Pelodiscus sinensis: one gene and its partner. The protein of the gene in region 1 purifies or fractionates together with the protein of each later gene. This does not show direct contact. Links are inferred from orthologs where the notes say so. Each region holds a gene or a part of one and is shown on either strand. Other genes may lie near its edges.

Region 1 (12,297 bases):
CAGTCAGAAGATAGGAAAACCCTTTTCTAGCATCGCTGCTATCTTGAGAAGATTTTGTTTTATCTAACACTTCTTGGCGACGGTAGTCAGAGAAGTCAGGTACTGACACATCATTGTGAAGGTAACGAACACTAGCTGGAGCTGCAACAAAAAGTAAATAGTATTAACTGCAAGCATCTTCTTAAAGACTTAGTACTATACTGATTATGAAGCTTTGTTTCCAGAGATTGAAGGTGAAATTTGAAAGAGGTCCAAAATACTTTCTGTAAAAAGTAATCCTTATTACTGCATATTGTTAAAAGTAAAAGTTAACATCCAGTTGCGATACTACAAGATTATTTGTGAAACCTAACACGTTTTTATCAATGATCTTTGCCACTCCCACCGAAATCTGACATTATAAGCCCTGTGTCTAAAAAGACACTCCAGATTGTATTATATTCACAAATGAACTATTCCAGGGGTGGCTAACCTGTGGCTCTTGAGCCACATGCAGCTCTTTGCTCACAGAAATGCAACTCTCGGGGCTACAGGTCGTTCAGAGCCAAATGCTCGCTTTATGCACACGCCCCAGTTCCTGGAGGGAAAAGTGCATGGCTGTGGTGGTGGCATCTCTGGTGAGGTCCAGGCATTGGGTTAGAATGGGAGAGGCCTGGGGGTGGCTGGCTCTGGGGGAGGGATGTGTGGTTCTCTGCACTATTATCCACAGCTTTTTTGGCTCTTATTGTCCAATTGGTTGGCCACCCCTGAACTATTTGTTAATTTAAAAGAGCACGGGCACAGCTTAAAATACAGGAGAGGGGCTAGAGATATAATTGTGTCTCAATTAACCAATAAGCAAAAGCTTTTAGGTTAATGTTATAGATTACATGCATTTCTCCCCCTATCCTCCCGCCGCCACCAGTAAATATTTTTGTAGGCTGACCAGCGCCCTGGCTCAGTCCTTCCTTGTGACAGGCTGGGACCTACCCCTGCTGCGACTCTGCATTAAAGTGCGTTAGGAGCTAAGCAGGCAAGCAGCCCGGCTCAGTCCCAGTTTGTGCTGGGTCTGGGAGCTCAGACCCTCTTCAGACAGGAGCTGCTATAAACCTACAGAGGGTGACATAGGGTGACAGGCAGCCAGTCTGTGAGATAAGCTGTTTTTAAAACTGGCTCTCCTCACAGACCAGCTCACAGAGTGGCAGGTTTACTCGGGAGTGGAGCCTTAGTGCACTGGGCTGCTGGCCCCACTCTCCGGGTACTAGAGAATAGTCGAGTAACTGATAAGAATTCATAAGGTTAATCGAGTAGTCGATTAACCAATATTTACCATTCCTAACAGGGGCTGCTCCGTTTAATTGGTTAACCACTTAAACATCATGTTTACTAATTAAATGGCATTTTACATTCCTAGTTAAAGAACACTTTACAATTCTACAACTCAAAAGCTTGAAATCTGGTCTTCGCTAAATCCTCCCTTCCATACTTTTCTTATGGAAAGACTACTTGAGCGATGGCTTACCCTAATTTTAAAAACACTTTAGCTGTTTGGTGGCCAATCAGCCCTTGACAGCATAGCTACTGTACATGTTAACATTCTACACTAGCATGGGCACAGGAAGAGAAGAGTAAGACAAATTCTTAAAGTCAGATTTCTTTCATTTGAAAGTTCCTGGAAACAATGGGATTAAGAAATAGGGATTTCAAAAGCATTTAGGCCATGAAACTGCAAACATTTACACGTTTAGTTAACTTTTGACTTCAATGGATCCTCTCACAAGAGTGTAAAACTAAACAAGCATGTATATGCGGGATTACTGCATAAATTTAACAGGTTTCCCTTAAATCTGATATTTACATTCTTGTGTCAAACTTTACTGGTTTGATTCCCAGTTAGACAATTACTATGCCAAAATGGCCATGTTATGCAGCTAAAGAATAATGTAAATATCAATTTAAAGACTGAAAACAGATTTTGTTGTGTAAGAAGATATTCAGCCTTACACTGCATGTTTAGAAGTTTCAGAGGGTAGCTGAGTTTGTTTTTTAGGTTATTCTGTACAGACTAATGGTCTGGTAGAACTTTAGAGACTAACAAAACATGTAGATGGTATCATGAGCTTTTGTGGGCACAGCCCATTTCTTCAGATGACCAGAGTTTGTACTACATGTTTAATTTTTCCCCCAGAAATCACCATCAGTAACACAGAAGGTTAACAAAAGTGTCTCCTGAAAGGATTGATAAGAATTAGGTGTTATGTGCAAAGGAAATCATCATGCAGGGACTGCACCAAGTTACAACTGATGGAGGAAATAAAGTGCATCTATTTACGAGGAACTTTGCGAAGAGAAGCCATTTTCTTAATCTTTAACTGCAGAGAAATTAATTAGCGAGGAGGTAGTTTTGCAACAATTTTAGCTTTAAAATGTTGTATGTGCTCTTTTCAATGGGAAAGTAATTCAGCATTAATCCTCTTGTTTAGTGTTGAATATAAACTATGTTTTGTCAGCACACTGATGTTAAACAAGACTTGAGTCAATGTGGACAAGGCCAAGAGGTATGTAACGTGTCAACTGGATAATATTTGTTCAAGGGCACAGCATAGTTCTACATTATTACATGTAAGCCCACTGTTTTATACAGAAACGTAATACACACTTTAAAAAATGAACATGGACAGAATTATTGAAAAAGGATTATATTGAAGCTTTGCATCAAAAATTTTCTATTGCTCCGACCACGCTTGGTTTGAAAATTAAGTCCTGTAAAGTCCAACACTACTCAAACATTTTATTCAGAGGAAAAACTGTCAATACCCTTACACAAAGCACTGCATGAACTAGAAAAAGGCTGATGGCAGAAAAAAAGTTTTAATCTCTCTCACTTAACAAAGCTCCTTCTTTTGATCTCAAAAATAAGTCTTTCACTTTGTAATTAAAACTACAGCCACTCCGACTTACCAACACACCAATTTACGACCATCTGTACTTACAACCAATCTCCTATTAACCCCATTCTAAAATTTTCCAGTTGAGAACCATGTACGTCAAGTATTTCGAACAGTGCGGGCAGCGTGTTTAAGGGTATTTCCGACTTATGACCAAATCAAGTTACAACTACGTGATCGGAACATAACCCGTTCATAAGTCGGGGACTGCCTGTATTCATGTGCTACATGCAGTGTTTTCTATTCTATCCCCATTCCGGAGCTGTGAAATGAAAGCCTGCGAGTAGTACCTTCAAGGAGTCAAGCACAAGTTATCTAAAATCACTACTTCTGATTAGAAATATAAAAAGCTATTTTAAAAGGTAACCCTGTAACTGCTAAGAAATTTCAGCGGTTACACTGTTACACACACTGCAGCACTGTTACACATGCTGCAGGGATGTCAAATTTAGATTAACTGGCTAATCGAATAGTCAATGCAATTTGCATAGACTATTCAATTAGTCCATAAGCACGCCTCTATCTTTGAAGCTACATTTCAAAGATGAAAGCGCTGTGGGGAGCATGGGGCATTTCAAAGTGGCAGACCCCCGGCACCCCACAGCACTGCCACTTTGAAACATCCCCTCCTCTGTACCCCCCCTCCCCGCCTCTTTCTAATAGAGGCAGTAAGTGGGGAGGGGGCATGACTAGTCAACTAGTGTGTTGACTATACAATAAGCGACTAGTCCTTCACATCCCTCATAAAAGAGTCCGCAGGAAAGTCGGGGCCCACCAATCCCTGCTGGTCCGGCTGGGAGGGGAAGTGTCTTTGCCCGGCAGCCCCTGCCAGCGGGCCACAGCGTGTAACCTGTGGTGGGGGTGGGGCAAAGACAGGGGCCCCGCCCGCACTGGAGCTGCTCCCGTCAGTACCTGTTAACCTTTTAACGCCCTACTTCAGACCAAGCAGTTGGCACTGGATTCGATTCAATTACATCCTTGAGCGTGGAAACGACTCAGAGCTGCTCAGGTTTCCCAGTCCCCCTCGGCGTCCCGCACGGGGGGGGGGGGAGCTTTGGACAGCCCACCGGCCCCCGACCCTGCGCACTGCGGACATTTCCGCCGCTGGGAACGGGCACAAACGGTGCCCGGGCGCAGGCCAGCGGCAGTAACTCACAGCGGAGCTGCAGACGAAACCCGCGCACGGGAAGCGCTGCCCCGGCTCACGCAACCCTGGAGCCGCAGGCCAGGCCTCCCCCGCACCGAGCCACACACCCCCCGCCGCTGCTCCCACAGGCCCCGGCCGGCTACAGCGGCCCACCCACCCCCGCTAGCGGCCCGTCTCCAGCCCGAGCCCCGACTGCCCCACCCCCGTGCCGCACCGTTGATGCTGGCGGTGGCGACGAGGCCTCCGCGGGGCGCTCGGCCGCTCAGCGATTCCCGGCTCAGCACCAACCGCTTCGCGTCCAGCGGCAGCTTCCCGGGCCGCAGCACCACCTCCGGCACCAGCGGCTTCAGCGGGCCCGGCACGGCGTGCGCCGCGGCCGACAGGTACGGAGCCAGGGGGCCGGCACGGGCAGCCACGGACAACATGGCGGCGAGTGCGTCTGAGGTGGGTCACCTCAGTCGGTCATAGGGCGGGCGCAACTTCCCGACAGCCCTGACGCCGCGCGGGCGACGTGCCCCGCCCCCTGCCCGTACGTGCGCACGCCCCGCCCCCTGCCCGTACGTGCGCACGCCCCGCCCCCTCGGGTTGCTTCTGCCAAGGTCACTCTCCGTGACGTCACCCAGGCTCGCGTTTGTCCCCAGGTTTGGCTGAGACTTGCGGGCCAGCTGGCTTCAGTAACCTCCCGGACCCCAGCAGGCACTGCCGCTGCAGCCCGGCGGTGACGTCATTCAAACCACTACCGCAGCCTGGTGACCTTATGCTACGTAATACATGAGGTCATCTCACACCAGTGACGTCATGCCCTTCAGACGGCTAGCGGGTTGCGGATACTGCACCCAAAATGACAAGTCACCTCAACTGGATGGAATCACAGAAATGTAGGGAGGGAAGGGCCCTCTAGAGGTCCCCAAGCCCAGCCACCTGTGCTGGCCAGCTGCACAATCCTTGTTCAGAATGGCTGCGTCTAGATTGACATGATTTTCCGGAAATGCTTTTGACAGAAAAGTTTTCCATTAAAAGCATTTTCGGAACAGAGCATCTAGATTGGCACGGATGCTTTTCCACAAAAGCACTTTTTGCGGAAAAGCATCTGTGACAATCTAGACGCGCTTTTCCGCAAAAAAGCCCCGATCGCCATTTTCGCGATTGGGGCTTTTTTGCGGAAAACAAATCTGAACTGTCTACACTGGCCCTTTTGCCTGAATGGGAGCAGAATAGTATTTCCGCAAGAAGCACTGATTTCTTACAGTAGGAAGTCAGTGCTTTTGCGGAAATTCAAGCGGTCAGTGTAGACAGCTGGCAAATTTTTCCGGAAAAGCGGCACTTATTCAAAGTAGGAATAAGACCCTCCGGAAAAGGGCACTTTTTCCGGAGGATCGGGGCCAGTGTAGACGCTCTTTTCCGGCTTTTTTAAAAGCCGGAAAAAAGCGGCGGACATTTTTATTTAAATGCCGTGGGGGATATTTAAATCCCCCGCGGATTTCCCTACGACGACTGGTGAAATTTACATGCCCCTTCCGGAAAAGGGGCCAGTGTAGACGTAGCCCCCATGTGAAAACACTGTCCTGTCACACCAAAACATCATGCCCACCGTGGCATGGTGATTCTTCATGGCTGTGTTTTTGGAATGCACTGTTTAATTCTATTAGATCTTTAGACAGTTATATGACACTAGTTGGCCTGGTATCAAAAGCCACAATCCTACAAACACACGTGTTTAATATTATTACCATTCTCAGCTTAGGGTTTAAAATTAGCTGGCACTTGGTATTGACACTGTGGTGACGGTCTTGCCTGTATCCGATGCTAGCTCCTTTCTTTCCTGGCAGGGAATGGCTTAGCAAGCACAATTGTTCCTTATGAGAAAGGCACCAGTCTGTGCCCTGGTGAGGCTTGTCATCACTTTACGCATCTCATCCTCTATCATGACACCATCTGGGTTATTAATGAAACATCTTTAACCATTATCTGAAGAAAAATTGTTAAAATTCAGAGACAAGTTATATGCTCTTTTCTTTCTCTGTGTGCTGTCAGGTTTCCTTTTTAAATCTCTTTCCCTCCTCCCTCCTTTCTTTAAGCTGATTTGACTGTTGTCCTGTTTTTCTAGTCATTATTTCTGTTTCAAGGGAGAAAAACAGTGATAATCTTGCACTTTGTCTCTGGAAATTTGTGGGCCATAAATTTTATATCATGTCTGAAAAATGTAAAGCACATTTTTCACCACACGCTTGTTATTTTTATCACTACACTTCTGTGACCAGTCTCCAGTTTCTACAGCTTCAGTCTCTCATACATTGCTTACCATCAGCACGTTCTGTCTGGAACTCAGGCTCCTACAGAAGTCAAACAGTTCCCCTGAAACTCATTCTCATCATCAATGATTAGCAGGGTGGAGGAACACAGCAGCTGTAGTTCTCACCAAAAGTATATATTCTCTCATTTTGGGACCACAAATTATCCCTCTACCTTTAGTCATTTGCACACATTTGGGGCCCAATTCTCCACTCCATTACATCAGTTTTACAGTGGTATAGAATAGAACAGAGTAAGGCCATTTATATATATTTTGGCTGAAATAATTTTATTACTGCAGAACATGTATTATGTGAATTTTACCTACACAATGCATATTTGATTTACACCCATTATCTTCAATGGTGTTTCTCTGGGTGTATACCTAGATGAGTGAGATATGGTCTTAGTCCTATATTAGAACATTTTATTAGCAAACTGTGATGATCTTGATTTTCTTTAGTAGAACTTTTAAAATTCACATGCCTTTTTGTTTATTTTAAACTCAACTGAGATGAAACAAACTTCATCTGCTAGACCTAAAATATAGGGCAAACTGGAGACTATTCAGTTTGCATATCATACCATTGTGGAGCTTTTCAGATGTGAGTTTGTAATCTAATTTTGTGTATATTTGGAGGTTTCCGTATACAGGCAGTCCCCGAGTTACGCGGATCCGACTTATGTCGGATCCGCAGTTACGAACGGGGCACTTCCTCTCCCTGGTCTCGAGCAGACCAGGGAGAGGAAGCAAAGCGGCGGCGGAACGCGCGGCCAGCTGACAGCCCAGACGCGTCTGGGCTGTCAGCTGGCCGCGCGCTCCGCTCTGCTCCCCCCCCCCTGCAGACCAGGGGGAGGGGGAGCAGAGCGGAGCAGAGCAGAGCGGCGGAACGCGCAGCCAGCTGACAGCCCAGACGCTTCTGGGCTGTCAGCTGGCCGCGCGTTCTGCCGCTCTGCTCTGCTCCGCTCTGCTCCCCCTCCCCCTGGTCTGCAAACCATGGGGGTGGGGGGAAGCAGAGCGGAGCACGCGACCAGCTGACAGCCCAGACGCGTCTGGGCTGTCAGCTGGCCGTGGGTTCCGCCCTCTGCTCTACTCTGCTCCCCCTCCCCCTGGTCTGCAGACCTGGGGGACGGGGAGCAGAGCAGAGCAAAGCCGTGGAGCCCGAGGGCAGCAGGATAGCCACGGCGCGTCTGGGCTGTCCCGCTGCCCGCGTGTTCCGCTGCTTTGCTCCCCGTCCCCCTGGTCTGCAGACCAGGGGGACGGGGAGCAAAGCAGAGCAAAGCCACGAAGCCCGAGGGCAGCAGGATAGCCACGGTGCGTCTGGGCTGTCCCGCTGCCCCCGTGCTCCGCGGCTTTGCTCCGGATGCCTGTGGTACAGCAGCTGGGGCGCTGCCGGTTGGTCCCGTAGCGCCGCTCTGGGTGCCACTGGACCAACCCAGCAGCACCCCAGCTGCTCTGCCCCAGGTGTCCCCTAGTCAGCAGCTGCTGAAAATGACCAGTGGCTGACTACAGGAAGCCCCTGCCCCGGGCTTCCTGGAATCAGCCGCTGATCAGTTTCAGCAGCAGCTGACTTGGGGATGCCTGGGGTTCTTAAGTTGAATCTGTATGTAAGTCAGAACTGGCGTCCAGATTCAGCCACTGTTGAAACTGATCAGTTTCAGCAGCGGCTGAATCTGGACGCCAGTTCCGACTTACATACAGATTCAACTTAAGAACAAACCTACAGTCCCTATCTTGTACGTAACCCGGGGACTGCCTGTATATAAGGACACGCAAAGCCATTAAATGTCAAAATTGCTCAGTTGTTGTTTATATTGCTTTAAGTTTATAAGACTCCAAGAAGTGTCTGTCTCAGTCTCTTGGCACTTTGGACACATAATTAAAGTCACAATAAAAATCACCATGGCAGTAGCTACCCCCAAAATAGAACAATAACGTAATAAACCACACCCTACAGATAAACTTACATATCCTCATTCCTCATCCTTTAAATATTACCCTTCAAGCAAATCTTCCCTTCCCAAAAGATCTCGTTAAAAGCTGAGCTTTGCAGCATGCCTGGAGGGCCAATAGATTCCACTTGTTTCAGACTGAGTGTGGGGTGTACATTTGAATGGTGAGGATAGAGAAGGTCTTATCATCAGCTCCCTCTTTTACAGCAAGAAAGGCAGCTTTAGCTTCAGTGCCTCCTAGCTGTAGCATCACAGTAGAGAGAGGCAGCAGCTGCTCAGGCCAGTATATCTTATAGTCAATACCAAATTACAGATTCCACTTGGATATGTTATCCCAGCTCCTGAAGGGATTTGTTCTTTTGGACAGCACTTCCCATCCTTACATTACTTAGGCATCATTTCTAAACTTGCATGAAAATTTCATGAGATTTGGGAAGGGCAGGTGCAACTTCAGATTTAAAAATTTCAAAAAACTATGGAAACTCCATTTGTCTTCAAATGATTGTGAAAATAAAGCTGCATTCTCACTTTTTTACTTTGTCACTGAATCTAACATAATATATGGTAGACTATACTCAGCTGATGCATTAATTACATAAATTAAGTTTGGTTCCACTTGAGTTCCATCTGGCAGCCCAAACACTTAACACTTGTCTGAACATTGAGATGTTAACCAGCTTTTTGAGCTGAACAGCTATCCACAACTCCAGCTCAAGACATCCCTCCAATTGCAACTCATCAGGCAATTAATCCATCCCATTCAAAAATGAGCTTAAAGGATTGCTACTCATTTTAGGAGTTAGAAGTTTAAATTCTAGTAGTTGCCAGTGTTGTCATTAGCAAATTATTTTAAGATTGTATACTGAGGAAGACTTCCAGTGAGCAATACAAATTATATTAATATGGGGAGCAATACTGATAAAATGTATTCATGTGGGTAATTTTGTTCATGGGAGTAATTCAATAGGCATTCCCCCTCCCCCCATGCAATAAACTCACATGAGTAAAATTATCCATGTGTTTTAGTCTTTAGAGGAACAGATTCATCTGAAAGTCCACTCATGTTAACAACTTTTCACACTGTCAGTAGTTTAATTGACCTGTTCTGGTCCAGAAAGCTTATGATAGACAATCTTGCTTTTGCAGTACAGGCAGTCCCCGGGTTATGTACAAGATAGGGACTGTAGGTTTGTTCTTAAGTTGAATCTGTATGTAAGTCGGAACTGGCGTCAGCCGCTGCTGAAACTGATCAGTTTCAACCGCGGCTGAATCTGGATGCCAGTTCTGACTTACATACAGATTCAACTTAAGAAACCCAGGCATCCCCAAGTCAGCTGCTGCTGAAACTGATCAGCGGCTGATTCCAGAAAGCCTGGGGCAGAGCAACTCTGCCTTGGGCTTCCTGTAGTCAGCGCTGGTCAGTTTCAGCAGCGGCTGACTTGGGGATGCCTGGGGCAGAGCAGCTGGGGTGCTGCTGGGTTGCTTCAGTAGCACAGCTCCTCGGCGCTACTGGAGCAACCCTGCAGCACCTCAGCTGCTCTGCCCCAGGCATCCTGATTCAGCCGCTGCTGAAACTGACCAGCAGCGGCTGAATCAGGACACCTGGGGCAGAGCAGCTGGGGTGCTGCTGGGCTGGTCCAGAGCGGCGCTGCGGGACCAACCCGGCAGCCCCCAGCTGCTCTACCCCAAGGGTAGGCAAGAAAAGCCTGGTCTGCTGAGGGGGGCACTAGCTGTGAGTCGGATCCGCGTAAGTCGGAGACTGCCTGTATACATTACAAAGCATAATAGCAAAGTGTGTGTACAATCCAAACTTTGCCTGTAAGTAGTAAAATCTTTATTAACAATTTATTTACTTCAAAATCAATGACACTAGACAGAAACTAAAAAATATTTTGCATATAATCTGTATTTTAAGGTTATAGTTAATGTTTATTTGAAGAACCTGCCCCCTTTTCTACACTTTATCTGCTGTAATATTTGTTTCCAATATCTTATTCTCAAAGGATATTATTTGTAATCATTGATTCCAAACACAAATGGAATAGCAAAATATTGTTTGATAGTTTATTTCACTGAGTTTTAATTGAGATTTTCCTCTGCACAGACTTCTACAATAATTAAACTCTATATCCCATAAGGAGATTTGCTGATTAATAAATTATTTTATAACTAAGTAGAATAAGTGTGCCTCCAATCAATACAATCACCTAAAAGCTCCAAATTAGAAATGGTGTAATAAAATTTAAATGAAATGTACTGGGATTTGGTAGTTTTAATTACAGGGAATGATTAATTGATGCTTCAACTAACAGTGATCTACAACTTATTGAATTCTTAGCAATTTAATTTGTCAAACCTGATCTTTGATAACTAACAATTTGCCTAATTAATGTTAAACCTGGAGTATTGAAGTAATTGCAGTTAGGAGTGAAGTTACATACTAAAGTCTTCTGTTCAATTTTAGGTTGTATTAACAGAGGAATAGAATGCAAGTCGAGGGAAATGATAGTACAGGTTAAAACTCTCTAAACCAGGACTTTCTGGTCAGCAACATCCATGATCTGTCACAGATGTTGCAGGACCAGAGAGTCTTAGTGGAGGGCTAGCTGCAGCGAGCCCTATGGGGCCAGCCTGCAGTGAGCGGCTGTGGGTCCAGCAGTGTGTGGCAGTGGGTCTACCCAGCATAGCTTGGAGATGCAGTGCATGGCTGCCTGGTGGGACCGGGAGCTCAGCAATGGGACCAGGACCTGTGGTGTGCAGCTGCCTGGTGGGGCCTAAAGCAGCAGTGTGCAACAGCCCAGTGGACCAGGAGCTGCAGTTGTGGTGGCTTTCCAGTGGGGTAGGCAGGTCAGCGAGGCTAACAGTAGGTGGCGAGCCATCTGGAAGGCCGGCAGGCTGAGCCAGGGCTGGAGAGGAGAGGGGGACCAGAAATACCTACTCTGGTCTGGCAAAATCCCTCATCTAGGACCAGTGAGGTCCCAAGGGTGCCAGACCAGGGGATGTCCAACCTGTATTGTTCAGCCTCTGCTGGAGTACTGTGTCTAAATTTGGTCATCAATATGTAGAAAGGATGCAGAGAAACTAGGAAGGTGAGTGACAAAGATGATCAAAATGATGGAATGCAAACAACGGGAGCAATACCTGAAAGAGCCACGTATGTTTTAGTTTGGAACAGAGGATATTAAGAGGGGACAGGATAGTCTTCAGAAAAGCTGCAATAAAAAGAGGGAGAAAAGTTTGTCTTTTTTTCCCTCAGAGGACAGAACAAGAGGCAATGGGTTCAAACTAAAGAATAGCTGTTTAGATTGTGGCTACGTTTATACTGCACCCTTCTTCTGCAAAAGCTTACTCAAATGAAGAGCGAAGTAGAATATTGTCATGCTTCATTTGCATAATTAATTAGGGGCCGTTTTTGCGCAAGAGGCTTTTGCGCAAAAAAACCCGGTGTGTACTGCTCTCTTTTGCACAAAAAACCCCCCTCTTGCATAAGAGCAGTTCTTCCTGAAAAAATGAGGAAGTATGCTGACATCTGTGTTACTTTTATTGTTGCATGTGGTGTGACTGACTCAAATATGAAGGTTAAAAAATATTACTCAGGGAGGGAGGAACAGAGTTGTGAAAATCTGCATGTCTCTATTTTTGATTGCAAAAGCCCACAAAAAGAATTGGACTAAAATTAGATACATTTAGCCGTTTAAAGGAGCAACAGCAAAGTGCTACTTCTGTATTCGCTGATTCAGACAGATTATCTGATCCAGGTTCATAGTTTCCTGATGATCTAATTGAAATAAAGCATTTTTTAATGTGGTATGGGGGTGCTACCCTGGTATCCCCAGGTGATTATTGGCTTGTTTAATTGTTTCCCATAATCTTAAAGAGGGTAGTTAAATTCTGAGAATCCTGGACAGGCTGAATTGAGCTGGGCACAGAACTAGAGAAACGGGTACAAAGTTAGCTTTCTCACTACTTTGTGGTTTC
Region 2 (12,533 bases), on another chromosome or scaffold:
GTTGCAGAATGCTGTGGTGTCCCAAATGAGGGCAATCAGAACACGCAGAGGCAAAATGCTTTGCTGTCCCTCATCGAGATAGGCAAACAAGCAGGGAAACCTGAGAACTGGCTGTCCTGGGGGGGAGGGAGGGTCCCTTTAAGCACAGGCTTTAGACAGCAGCCACACAAAGTAACTCCTGACCTGATGCCTTGCCGGATCTGGTTTCAGCAGGCCTTAAATGCGATTCAGCGTCCACTCAGTGTGGTCACACTATTTCGAAATAGCAAAAAGCTATTTCAAAATGCATTTTGTGTGTAGATGCGTTATTTCGAAATAAGCTATTTTGAAATAATACTGGAGTGTAAAAGTGACGAGGAGTCCTGTGGCACCTTATAGACTAACTGAAGTGTAGGAGCATAAGCTTTCGTGGGCAAAGACCCACTTCGTCAGATGCATCTGACGAAGTGGGTCTTTGCCCACGAAAGCTTATGCTCCTACACTTCAGTTAGTCTATAAGGTGCCACAGGACTCCTCGTCGCTTTTGCAGATTCAGACTAACACGGCTACCCCTCTGATACTGTAGTGTAGAGTATCAGAGGGGTAGCCGTGTTAGTCTGAAACTGCAAGAGCAGGGAGGAGTCCTGTGGCACCTTACGTAAAAGAATAAATGGACACAAATCATATATTAGGAATGGCAATATACAAAAACCTATAGGGGAACACTTCAATCTCCCTGGACACACAATTGCAGATCTAAAGGTAGCCATCCTGCAGCAAAAAAACTTCAAGACCAGACTTCAAAGAGAAACTGCTGAGCTACAGTTCATCTTCAAGTTTGACACAAACTCAGGATTAAACAAAGACTGTGAATGGCTAGCTAACTACAAAAGGAGCTTCTCCTCTCTTGGTATTCAGCTACTAGAAGTGGGCCTCATTCTCTTCATGCTCCAACACTTCAGTTAAGTCTATAAGGTGCCACAGGACTCCTCGCCGCTGTAGTGTAAATATACCCAAATTTCTTACAACCTCCTTCAACCTCTCTTCCTTGTCTTTCATGTAGGGCTGATCTACACAGTTAGTGAGCTAATATAACTATTTTGGTTTACAAAAAAATCTTCCCACTGGTCAAGTTAAAGTATGACCCCTAAATGTGATTGGCAGAACTGTCTACTCAGTGACACTGGTAGGGCTTAAGCTTTTCAAAATACAGCACAAGACAAAGGAAGCTTAAACTACAGATACATGCCCATTAATATCCATCTGTGTCCGTGACAGGGAATCATACCATTTTCTTAACGTCTATAGTTATAGCAGTACAAAAAAAGCTGTGTAGACTAGCCCAGAAAGGTCAAGCTTCTAAAACACAAATTCAAAGCCCTGTAAAAATTATACCACTGGCTCCTCCTCTTGGTCATTCCCTTCTGCTCCCTTGCTCCTTCCATCCCAACCATTGTTTTTAATAGAGAAAGGTGGAAAGAGAGAGAAGACTAAGGCTATGTCTAGACGACAGGGTTTTTTTCGAAAAAAAGTGGCCTTTTTTGAAAAAAAAAAACCAAAACAAAAAACTTCACCTGCATCTAGACTGCCGCCACATTCTTTCAAAATTAAAGTGAAAGAACACAGCGGTTTTTTCGACAGCGGTAAATCTCATTTTACAAGGAAGAACGCCTTTTTTTGAAAGAGCTCTTTCGAAGAAGAAGGCGTTCTTGACCGCAAACAGGGCTTTTTTGAAAGAGAGCTACCAGATTGCCTGGGTGCTCTTTTTTGAAAAAACAATCCACTTTTCCAAAAAAGGTATGGCTGTCTAGACGATCTCTTTTGAAAAAAGCTGTTTCAAAAAAAGCTTCTTTTGAAAGAAGCGTATACTCTAGACATATCCTAAGTCAGTGCTTAAGTCTTTCTAAAGTCACTTCATTTTCCTTCAAATCCCTCTGAAAAATAGAATCAGAAAAATGAACTTTAATTTTTCCCCAAGACACTTCAACAACACCTTTGAAGATCAATTCTCTCTGCAGACAAAATATGCTATATTAGAAACTTGATCAAATACCTGTAACCATATACGGTCAAGACCAGGACCATTCCTTTTATGTACTGGATCTGAGAGTGTGCAAAAAAGACTTTGAGAGGAGTGCCTGGGAACTGGGGACTTTAAGGCTTCAGGCTGTAGGGCTGCCTGCCTAGTAGGATGCCACGGAGTTGGAGACCTCAGGACTTCCAGACTGCTGCTCTGCGACAGCCTGCCTTGGACAGAGTATCCACTCCCTCTTGTGAAGAATTTGGACATATTTAGGGTTTTATTCCCGACTGGAACAAAGCCAAATTTCAAAAATATTAAAATCCACAGTGAAAGACAATTGCCTTTCTCTGAACAGCTCTATTCATGTGATAATGTTGCATCCTCTTCTCTGGTAACTCAGAAAAACAGACAAACTGAAGCATTTCAATGGATCAGGGCTTTTTTGTTTTTGTTTTCTGTTGTTTTGCTTTACGTAAACTGAACAAAACAGTAGTAGTAATTTGTTTATCACACTTGTGACTCAGGTTGACAACCTGTTCCATCTGTTTGCTCTCTGGATCTGCAGAGACTACCTGCAAACTCCAATCTTTCTTCTTTTGTGAGTGTTCTACCCTGTGTGGCTGAACCCCTTATGCTGATTAAACAACAGCAGGTTCCAAAAAGGAGTCAATCTAATTCAATTCCCTTCAGGGCATGTAGGATGCTAGGAATTATTAGGAAAGGGATAGAAAATAAGACCCAGAATATCTTACTGCCCCTGTATAAAACTATGGTACGCCCACATCTTGAATACTGTGTACAGATGTGGTCTCCTCACCTCAAAAAAGATATTTTGGCCTTGGAAAGGGTTCAGAAAAGGGCAACTAAAATGATTAGGGGTTTGGAACGGGTCCCATATGAGGAGAGGTTAAAGCGACTGGGACTTTTCAGTTTAGAAAAGAGGAGACTGAGGGGGGATATGATAGAGGTCTATAAAATCATGAGTGGTATGGGGAGGGCTGATAAAGAAAAGTTATTTATTAGTTTCCATAATAGAAGAACTAGAGGACACCAAATGAAATTAATGGGTAGCAGGTTTAAAACTAATAAAAGAAAGTTCTTCTTCACACAGCGTGTAGTCAACCTGTGGAACTCCTTGCCAGAGGAGGCTGTGAAGGCTAGGACTATAATAGAGTTTAAAGAGAAGCTGGATAATTTCATGGAGGTTAGGTCCATAAAAGGCTATTAGCCAGGGGATAAAATGGTGTCCTTGGCCTCTGTCTCTCAGAGGCTGGAGAGGGATGGCAGAAGACAAATCGCTTGATCATTGTATTCGGTCCACCCTCTCTGGGGCACCTGGTGCTGGCCACTGTCGGTAGACAGGATACTGGGCTAGATGGACCTTTGGTCTGACCCAGTACGGCCGTTCTTATGTTCTTATGTCTAAACTATATCCCTCTTTCGAAAGAGAGATGTAAATTAGGCAGATTGAAAGTGCAAATGAAGCAAATGAAGCGGGGATTTAAATAGCCCGTGCTTCATTTTCATACTCACATAAAATAATCGAAAAAGGTTTTTTTTTCCCTAAAAGAACCGCATCTACACAGTGGTTTCACTTTCGAAATACCCCTTTTTCAAAGGAACACTGTGACAATTATGCAAATGAAGCAGAGGATATTTAAATCCTCACTTCATTTGCATTTTTGATCTGCCTAATTTACATCCCTCTTTTAAAAGAGAGAGTGATGTAGTTTAGACATGCCCTCAGAGAGAATGATGATAGTTCGTGTAAAAGACCTTCATACAATGGCATGCCCAAGGAAGGAGGGTCCTTAGAGATTTTGTAGAGATGCAACAGTCCCACTAGGAAGACAAAAATTCTTACCTTCTAAGGCTCTTGCGTCATTTTTAAAAACCTGTTGCCGTGTTCTATGCAATGTTCTGAAAAGCTTTAAAACCTGTTCATAAGATACAAGTCAGCAATCAATGTGTTTTGTTTGTTAATAGTAATAATTAAGTAAAATTATTATTTTTGCAGTTAAAAAGGTATTTTTATTTGCATTCTACTGTTTCCTCCATAGCAGCCGAATCATTCGGTCAGAAATGTAAGCTCAATTCTTGATCAGACTTTCTGCAGATAAAACAGAGGTATAGAACACAGAAGACAAGATAATTCCTGATATCTAAAATATAACAAGATCTCAGAATTATGAACACCGGAGTTACAAATTAAATGGCCAATCATACACTTCATTTGGAACCAGGAGTACACCATCAGGCAGCAGTAGAGATCAAAACATGACAAGCAAATACAGTAAAATATTGTGCATGTAAACTATTAAAAATGAAAATTTAAAAATATTTAACGAAGTAAGGAAACTATTTCATTTTGGTATTGGAAAAATTTGTTGCCACCCTTTTCTGAACTTATCAGGAGTTTGGAGCTGGTGCCATTTGAAGAGAGATTAAAAAGACTTGGACTTTTCAGCTTAGAAAAGAGGAGATCAAGGGGGGATATGATAGAGGGCTCTAAAATCATGACTGGAATGGAAAAAGTGAATAAGGAAAAGTTATTTACTTATTCCCACAATAAAAGAACTAAGAGTCACCAAATGAAATTAATAGGCAGCAGGTTTAAAACAAATAAAAGGAAGTTTTTCTTCACTCAGCGCACAATCAAGCTGTGGAATTCTTTACTAGAGGATGCGGTGAAGGCTAGAACTTTAACAGGGTTCAAAAAAGATCTAGATAAATTCATGAAGGTTAGGTCCATCAATGGCTATGAGCCAGGATGGGTAGGAATGGTATCCCTAGCCTCTGTTTCTCTGGAGGTGAATGACAGGTGAGGGATCACATGAGGATTACCTATTGCAATCCCTCTCTCTGGGGCATCTGGTATTGGCAACTGTTGGCAGACAGGATACTGGGCTTGATGGATCTTTGGTCTGACCCAGTATGGCCCTTCTGGATGGACCTTTGGTCTGACCCAGTATGGCTGTTCTTATGTTCTTAAAAGCAGCACTTTCCTCCTTAGTAAAGTTTCAAAGCTGTTTTAAGTCAATGGTCAGTTGTAAGCTTTTGAAAGAACTGTAACATTTGCTTCAAAGTTAAAAACAGGGATGTTAGATAGTGTGCAATTAAATAGCCAGGCATCAAATTTTAGCAGATACACAACTATTCTATCCAGAGATGGAGCTGGCAGCCAGCGTTTTCCTGATCTCACTTTTGGGGAGCCCCCAGCCACACCATGCTGCTGCCTCTGATACAGAGGAACCAGCAGGGGGTGGCAGCAGCTCCTGTCCAAGGGGAGGTGGGTGTCCAAACACGAACCGCTGTGGACAGAGGCTGCTTTGCAGCAGCAGCCTCCGCCACCCCCTCATGCTACTGCCTCTGTAGGAGGCAGCAAGGCGGGGAGGGCAGGCAGGTCTGTGGCTCCAACATGCACAGAGAGCCAACTTAAAAGCTGGCTCCCCGCACCCTCTGTGCTGCTGCCTCTCTATCATTGGTAGCAGTGCGGGGGGGAGGGGGGGGCTTTGCAACCACATTTTAAGTTGCAGCTCTGCGCATGTGCATCATTGTGACCCCCCCCCCCAGCTTCCAAAGAGGAGCAGCCCTGGATAAGACTGAGATTTTTGTCTTGGTTTCTGCCCCCCCCCATAGGAAATCTGAGCGGGCTGGGGGCTCGCCAGGCATTTCGGTGCGCGTATGGGGTTGCTCAAAAGATTCAGGAAGAATCCTGCGGGTCACAATAGAACCCGCGCATGCGCACCTCCGCCCACACTCACCTCCGTCCGACTCCCCATCTCCACAGCAGTTCCCCCTCCACACACAGCAGCCGCGAAACCACGCCCACCGCCTCGCTCATGAAAGGCCAATCGGAAGGTCACAGTCCAGCGCCGCCCCCTCCTCCTGCGCTTTGGTTAAGGAGCGGCAGGGTTGGGGGAACGTTACGGGACAAGCCGCTACCGAACCTTTCCCCGCGCGCTACTGCGGGCGGCGAGGCTACTTCCTCGTGCATCGGGAATTCGTGCCCGATAGAGCCGCGTCCCCTGAACGCTGGATCCGGGCAGGTCGATGCCCTGAACCGTGAATGGGGGGGGCGGGGTCAGCTTAATAACGAGCGATCGGATTGGCTAATAAGTGTCCCGTGTTCCTTGCCGCGGGTGCTGTGTGCGCGTCCTGCGCAACACCCGCTCCGCCAGCAGGCACCAGGCAGTGTCGGTGCTGTGCCCGCATCGGTGCCCCCAGCTGCCGTCAGCTTTAAACGTGGTGGCTGCTGGGTGTGGGCGACACCTCTCCCGTAACGACATGTCTGCAGGCGCTTGGGCTTTACCGAGCGCCCCGCACTCTGCAGTGCGGCTCTGTGCGCCTGAACTGCAGGAGCCTTGTGCTAGTCAGCTGCGCCTTCAATACACCGAGCGTCCAAGCCCACTGGCCTCACGCTGGCTGCCAATGGGAGTTGTGTCAGGCCTCATAGCAGTAACAATTAGTGAGTTGCCCCAGCATCTGAGGTTTGTACGCTGTTACAGTAGCTGAGGCGCCTAGATCTCATAACAAGGACATTTTAAAAAAAGATTTTGAATGATTTTCTTACAAGTCCTTAGAATCAGAGCCACCAGACTAAATAACATAACTGTGATATATTTTTCTATTTTTAGTGAAGAAAAACGTAACAGTTTTCAAAACTGGGAAGTCATCAGTTTCCATCTAACAGATTTATGTTGCATAGCTGTTTTACTTTCAGTTCTTAACTAATGTTTAACTCTGCTAGCAGTTTCCATTTCCTAAGAAATAGCGGTCATCTAGAAAATGATGACTTATTTTCCATAATTGATTTGGAAAGTGCATCCATAATATTCTGTGTATAAAAACAAACAACAAATTTATGTAATGTATTTTCAGCACAAGACAACAGTTAGATTTGTACTAAGGAAGAAACTCAGAGTGGAAGTAGCTGGCATATTTTTGCTTTTCACTGAAAATTACAGGAATTGTTAAATTCAACCTCGGAAAATATACATATTGCCTAGGTTGACTTAAGAGAAATTATATACACTCACATCGGAATTATTGTAACTTCACAGATATCAAAGATTTATTTTTCTGTTTACCAGCATTTGCAACATAGACCCATGGAAGTGATTTTTGGTTCTATCAACTCTAGCACTTCTTGCATTGCATTTAATTCAATAAGAATCAGAAAAAATAGGTGAACAATGAGATGGAAATATTTGCTGATGAGACAAAATTATTTAGGTTAGTTAAAGCCAGAAAGACACTAGTTTCAGAAGTACTTAACCAAGCTAGGTAAACAGACAACATGATGTTGGTAAATGTAGAGTAATCAGCATTGGTGGGAAAGAAACTACTCTTACAATTTATTGGATTGTAAATTTTCTGTTAACAAAAGTACCTGAGGGAGGGAGAGCAAGCATGTGGGACAGTTATACTCCCAAATAGGGAGGGGAACACAGGAGGGCTATGTCTAGACTGGCATGATTTTCCGCAAATGCTTTTAACGGAAAAGTTTTCCGTTAAAAGCATTTGCGGAAAAGAGCATCTAGATTGGCACATACGCTTTTCTGCAAAAAGTGCTTTTGTGGAAAAGCATCCATGCCAATCTAGATGCACTTTTGCGCAAAAAAGCCCTGATCGCCATTTTCGCGATCGGGGCTTTTTTGCGCAAAACAAATCTGAGCTGTCTACACTGGCCCTTTTGTGCAAAAGCTTTTGCACAAAAGGACTTTTGCCTGAACGGGAGCAGCATAGTATTTCCGCAAGAAGCACTGATTTCTTACATGAGATCGTCAGTGTTCTTGCGGACATTAAAGCGGCCAGTGTAGACAGCTGGCAAGTTTTTCCGCAAAAGCAGTTGCTTTTGCGGAAAAACTTGCCAGTCTAGACGCAGCCGGGAGCAACCAGGGAGCATCCAACAGCTGGGCTCTGGGCTGCTATGTCCCAGGGAGCAGAAGTGGGCTGCATGGCCCTGCTGGCCTCAGGGAGCAGTCATTGGGCTATTTTTTATTTTGTGGACATCTCTACATTAGGAAGAGAAGAGAGACTGACAGCTCATTTTATATGGCTCAGCAAACTCATAAATGGTAGCAGTTATGGGGCTTTGGCAAATGCACTAAATGCAGACCAGTTACTGAATGGTAGAAAGCTCTGTCATTTCATCATCTGTTATTAAGCCATTCAAGGGTCCCTATAACCACTTTGTTCTGAGAAAGGAAACATTAATTTTTGCCTTCTTGCATCAAAACACTTGAATCCAGTCATTGACTGTCTGATTATAGGAACACATACACATGAACCTCAAGGTGTCTCTGTCACACTGATTTTCATTCCTGGGTGGAATTTTTTAATTTAGATAATTTATTTCTTTAACAGAAATAGTTCTCTTTATATGTCAGACTTCATGGTGTGTAAGCCAGTAAGTGTTGTAATTTGTTAGTTAAGAATCAGTTGTCATTTTCATTTTACACCTAATTTTTTTAGTGGTTTATAGCTTAGTTAAAAAATTAGTCAGAAGCTGAATCTTTTGGTAGGATTAATTGAGGATGAAATAGGGAATGTAATTCCTTAATCATCTTTGCTGCTTTAAGTTTTACTTTCAAATTTTAGATAACTATATGCCTTTGTTTAATTATAATTACACCACATATATACAGGCAGTCCCCGGGTTACGTACAAGATAGGGACTGTAGGTTTGTTCTTAAGTTGAATCTGTATGTAAGTCAGAACTGGCGTCCAGATTCAGCCGCTGCTGAAACTGACCGCCAGTTCTGACTTACATACAGATTCAACTTAAGAACCCCAAGCGTCCCCAAGTCAGCTGCTGCTGAAACTGATCAGCGGCTGATTCCAGGAAGCCCGGGGCAGAGCAACTCTGCCTCGGGCTGCCTGTAGTCAGCACTGGTCAGTTTCAGCAGCGGCTGACTTGGGGACGCCAGGGGCAGAGCAGCTCGGGTGCTGCTCTGCCCCATGCGTCCTGATTCAGCCGCTGCTGAAACTGACCAGCAGCGGCTGAATCAGGACGCCTGGGGCAGAGCAGCTGGGGTGCTGCCGGGTTGGTCCAGTAGTGCCCAGAGTGGCGCTGCGGGACCAACCGGCAGCGCCCCAGCTGCTCTGCCCCAGGGTCCACAACAAAAGCCTGGTCTGCTGGGGGGGGAGGGCGGGGGGCACACTAGCTGCGCCCCCTTGTAGCCAGACAGGAACCCCCTTGTAACATCCATTTTTGCTTGCCTGGAGCATACAGGGCACACAGAGCAGAAGGCCCAGGCTGTGTGACCGTGAATGGCTGTAAACAGAGATACGCCAATTGCTGACCAAGAGGCTGCCAAGGAGTGCCCTTGACTGAAACCCATATTGATACGAACACACATCCATCCGTGGGGGGGAGGAATCTCTCGCCCAGTAAAAAAATGTCTAGTGCTCACAATTTAGTTATCTCTCTTGCAAGTGTAAATTAACTTGAAACTTGCTTGTAAGAACTGGCACCACAAAACGGACCAGTACAATTCGGCATCTTAGATAAGAAAGAGAATACAGGCCCCCAGGGGTATAAAGATAGGTCCAGCAGCGCATTTTCTCTGAGTGTCAATCTACCATCTATCTGCTGGTCGGGTTTGGTGTTTGATCTCCCGAGGTTCCAAGGGGACGCCCACCTCGTATTCATCTTTCCTAGGAATTGAGAGACCGGCCCTGACCTGACACGCTGGAGTCGAGAGGCACAGAAAGGGGTAAAAATTGTACCTGGATGTGGTCCTTTGCTTAAGTATATATATACATAGACTTAGAGCTCTTTAAAGATTAAGCTGTCACTTGGTACCATTATTTCTATTTTCTATCTTTATTTTCTTTGTAACCATTTTTTAAAATCTGTATTTGTTAGCATTTAAGAAATAGAGCAATAGCCATTGTAACCATATGCTTTTATAAGTCTTTTAATAAACCTGTAACTGTTTAAGCTTTAACCTGACTCCTTCAGTTGCTGTAACAGAACCAAGCACAATTTAAAAGAACTTCAGCCGGTCATAAAGGGACAGACATAGGGAGAGCTTGGGCGTTTGGATCTGTGTCACTCCCAGGTGACAAGATCCGTTGGGGCACCTTTCCAGCCTTTCCCAGGCTGCCCGCTGCGAAGGAACTTTGTGTTCTAGCAGTTAAAATCTAAGGTGTAATAAGCTCTTTCTATATAACAGGGCATCTGTTGGCCTGCTGGCCACCCTCTGCGACGGGACCCCGGTCCTAGCAGTAAAGACACGGACGTTAAACCTTTTCTCGGAAGCATACACACACACACTGCCCTGACCGTCGGCTGACACCCCTGTCCCAGCAGACCAGGGACACGGGGAGCAAAGCCGCAGCGGCAGCGGGGTGCCGCGCCTCTGAGGCTTTGCTCTGGCTGCGGCTGCGGCTGCGGCTTTGCTCCCGGTGCCCCTGGTCTGCTGGAGACGGTCCCCAACAGACCAGGGGCATCAGGAGCAGCTTTTCTCGCCCCGGAGGTCGAGGTGGCAGGACCGCTGCCTGCGAGCTCCGGGGCGAGAAAAGCCCCGTTCGTAAGTGCGGATCCGACATAAGTCGGATCCGCGTAAGTCGGGGACTGCCTGTATGTAACAGTCTGCCAGCATTTTCTTGTCATATTCTCTTTTCAGGAGATTATTTCCTTTGAGGGAAATTTACTTTGAGATAAAATGTGTTATATAGGAGAAGATATGTTATTGTAACAATTTATTGCTGACACTGGATGAATAATGTTTAATAATCATGAAATATTTTTGAATACTTCCTGAAATATGTTTGTGACCGTTCTTCCCCCCGATTTCTCAAAATTGCCTTAGGAATATAAATATGCATAACTCAAAGATGCTTTAGATAAAATACCTCATGTAATCTATTAATTTAAATGTTACAGTTTGCTTGACCTATGTATACTATTTTGATGAATGTACTGTTTCATCCTTATATGTAAAGCTACAAGTATCTAGTGTGAGTCTGTTTACAGTTTAAATGTGCCAATGAGCTTAATGACTGGTGATCAGCTTAATGACTTGTAAACAGCCTTGTTTGTCCTGTAAGTACAGAAGGTGGCTGGTGACATGACCATACCACCTGATGCTGGTATCCATTTTGAATCTGGTAAATTTCTGCCAAAGGGGGGATTTAAAACAGAAGATTCCCACCCTAGGGAGAGTCTATTTAAGCAATAGGAAGCTATCATGTCTTTGTCTTCAGCTGGCCTAAGAAAAGGCAAGACACACTCCAAAAGGAGACAAAGAAAGCTGGAGACCCAAGTCAGAATAAAAGACACTTGTCTCTGACTTGAAAATTGTATTTGAAATAAGAACAGCTCTTTTGGGCAAGAATCTTCTTACAGTACCCCTTGTTATTTTTTCTTGCAATTAGTTTCTTAGTGAATTAGAACTGGCTATGCATTTTCTTTTCATTTGAATTTAGTAACTTACTTTGATTTATCTATTTTCGCTTGCAGCTACTTAAATCCTACTGTTTGTACTTAGTAAAAATAATTTTTACTATCAGGACCAGTGTAAATAATTGGTATGGGGGGACAATCATTGTGCATATCTCTATTTCACTGACAGAGAGGGTTTAACTGATGAGCTTTCACTGTGTACAACTTTTACACAGAGAAAGATTTATGTATTTGGGGAAGAGGGTTGGTCCCATTTGGGGGTTGATTGCATGGGTGTTGGGCTATAGAACTGCATCTACCCAGAGCTGAAGTGGTTCGGTATCTGTGTTGCTCTTCAGGGAAGTGATTATCCCAACTCTGTGCTTTTTCTGGGGGAGTCCAGAAGATCTAGCCAGCAGGATAGGGTGAGGAGGAGCCCCAGAAAGCAAGAAAGAAGACATGATCAGTACACTTGGAAACAATCTTAAGGGGAGTCCTGTGACCACACCCCCTCACAATGTTGGATAAATTATTCAGTGAACAGGGCACTGATCCTGAAGTATGATGTACTAAAAGGTGTAAAAATCTTTTCATTAAATATGATTGCAGATTCAAGGTATGTATTAGTGAATTATTCAACTATTAATAAAACCCGTGTGAATAACAGATTTTTGACTATTTTAAGCTATTTGCAGCACTATATTGAAAAAATAAATAAATGGTTTGATAAGAATTATTCAATCGGGTCTATTTATTACATTTGAAAAAAAAGGCTGTAGCATATTTAGAATGATATTGTTAAATTATGTGTTTTTTATCATTATGATGCTTCCATCACTTTGATTATCTCTTTGAGCTATTAATAACTAGTAAATAATAGAGATTAACAACTCCAGTGAAATCAGGAACTGCTTACAAAGCATACTGTTAAATACATGTATAAAGGACTAGGGCCTTAAATAAATACTTATGGAATATATAGATTTATTATTTTGTGTCTTGTGAATTATGTCGATGTTGATGTTCTTTCCTTAAAAATATTTTGATCCTTTTAAATAAAGAAGTTTTAACAACATTTTTATTAAAATAACATTCACTGTCTGACAAACATAGAAAAACAAGGAAATTAAAAGCTGA

Evidence for each region.
Region 2: the proteins of UQCRFS1 (region 1) and LYRM7 purify together in Homo sapiens (co-immunoprecipitation; 5 studies listed by BioGRID and IntAct, with this or other methods). This does not show direct contact. The link is inferred for Pelodiscus sinensis from reciprocal best matches to the Homo sapiens genes UQCRFS1 and LYRM7.

Annotation. Positions count from the first base shown.
Region 1 is NC_134722.1:26,388,316-26,400,612, reverse strand, and holds the start of UQCRFS1 (cytochrome b-c1 complex subunit Rieske, mitochondrial), read right to left. Parts: upstream 4,576-12,297; 5' UTR 4,500-4,575; coding exon 4,289-4,499; intron 142-4,288; coding exon 1-141.
Region 2 is NC_134716.1:49,390,421-49,402,953, forward strand, and holds the start of LYRM7 (complex III assembly factor LYRM7), read right to left. Parts: upstream 6,090-12,533; 5' UTR 5,785-6,089; coding exon 5,767-5,784; intron 3,940-5,766; coding exon 3,867-3,939; intron 1-3,866.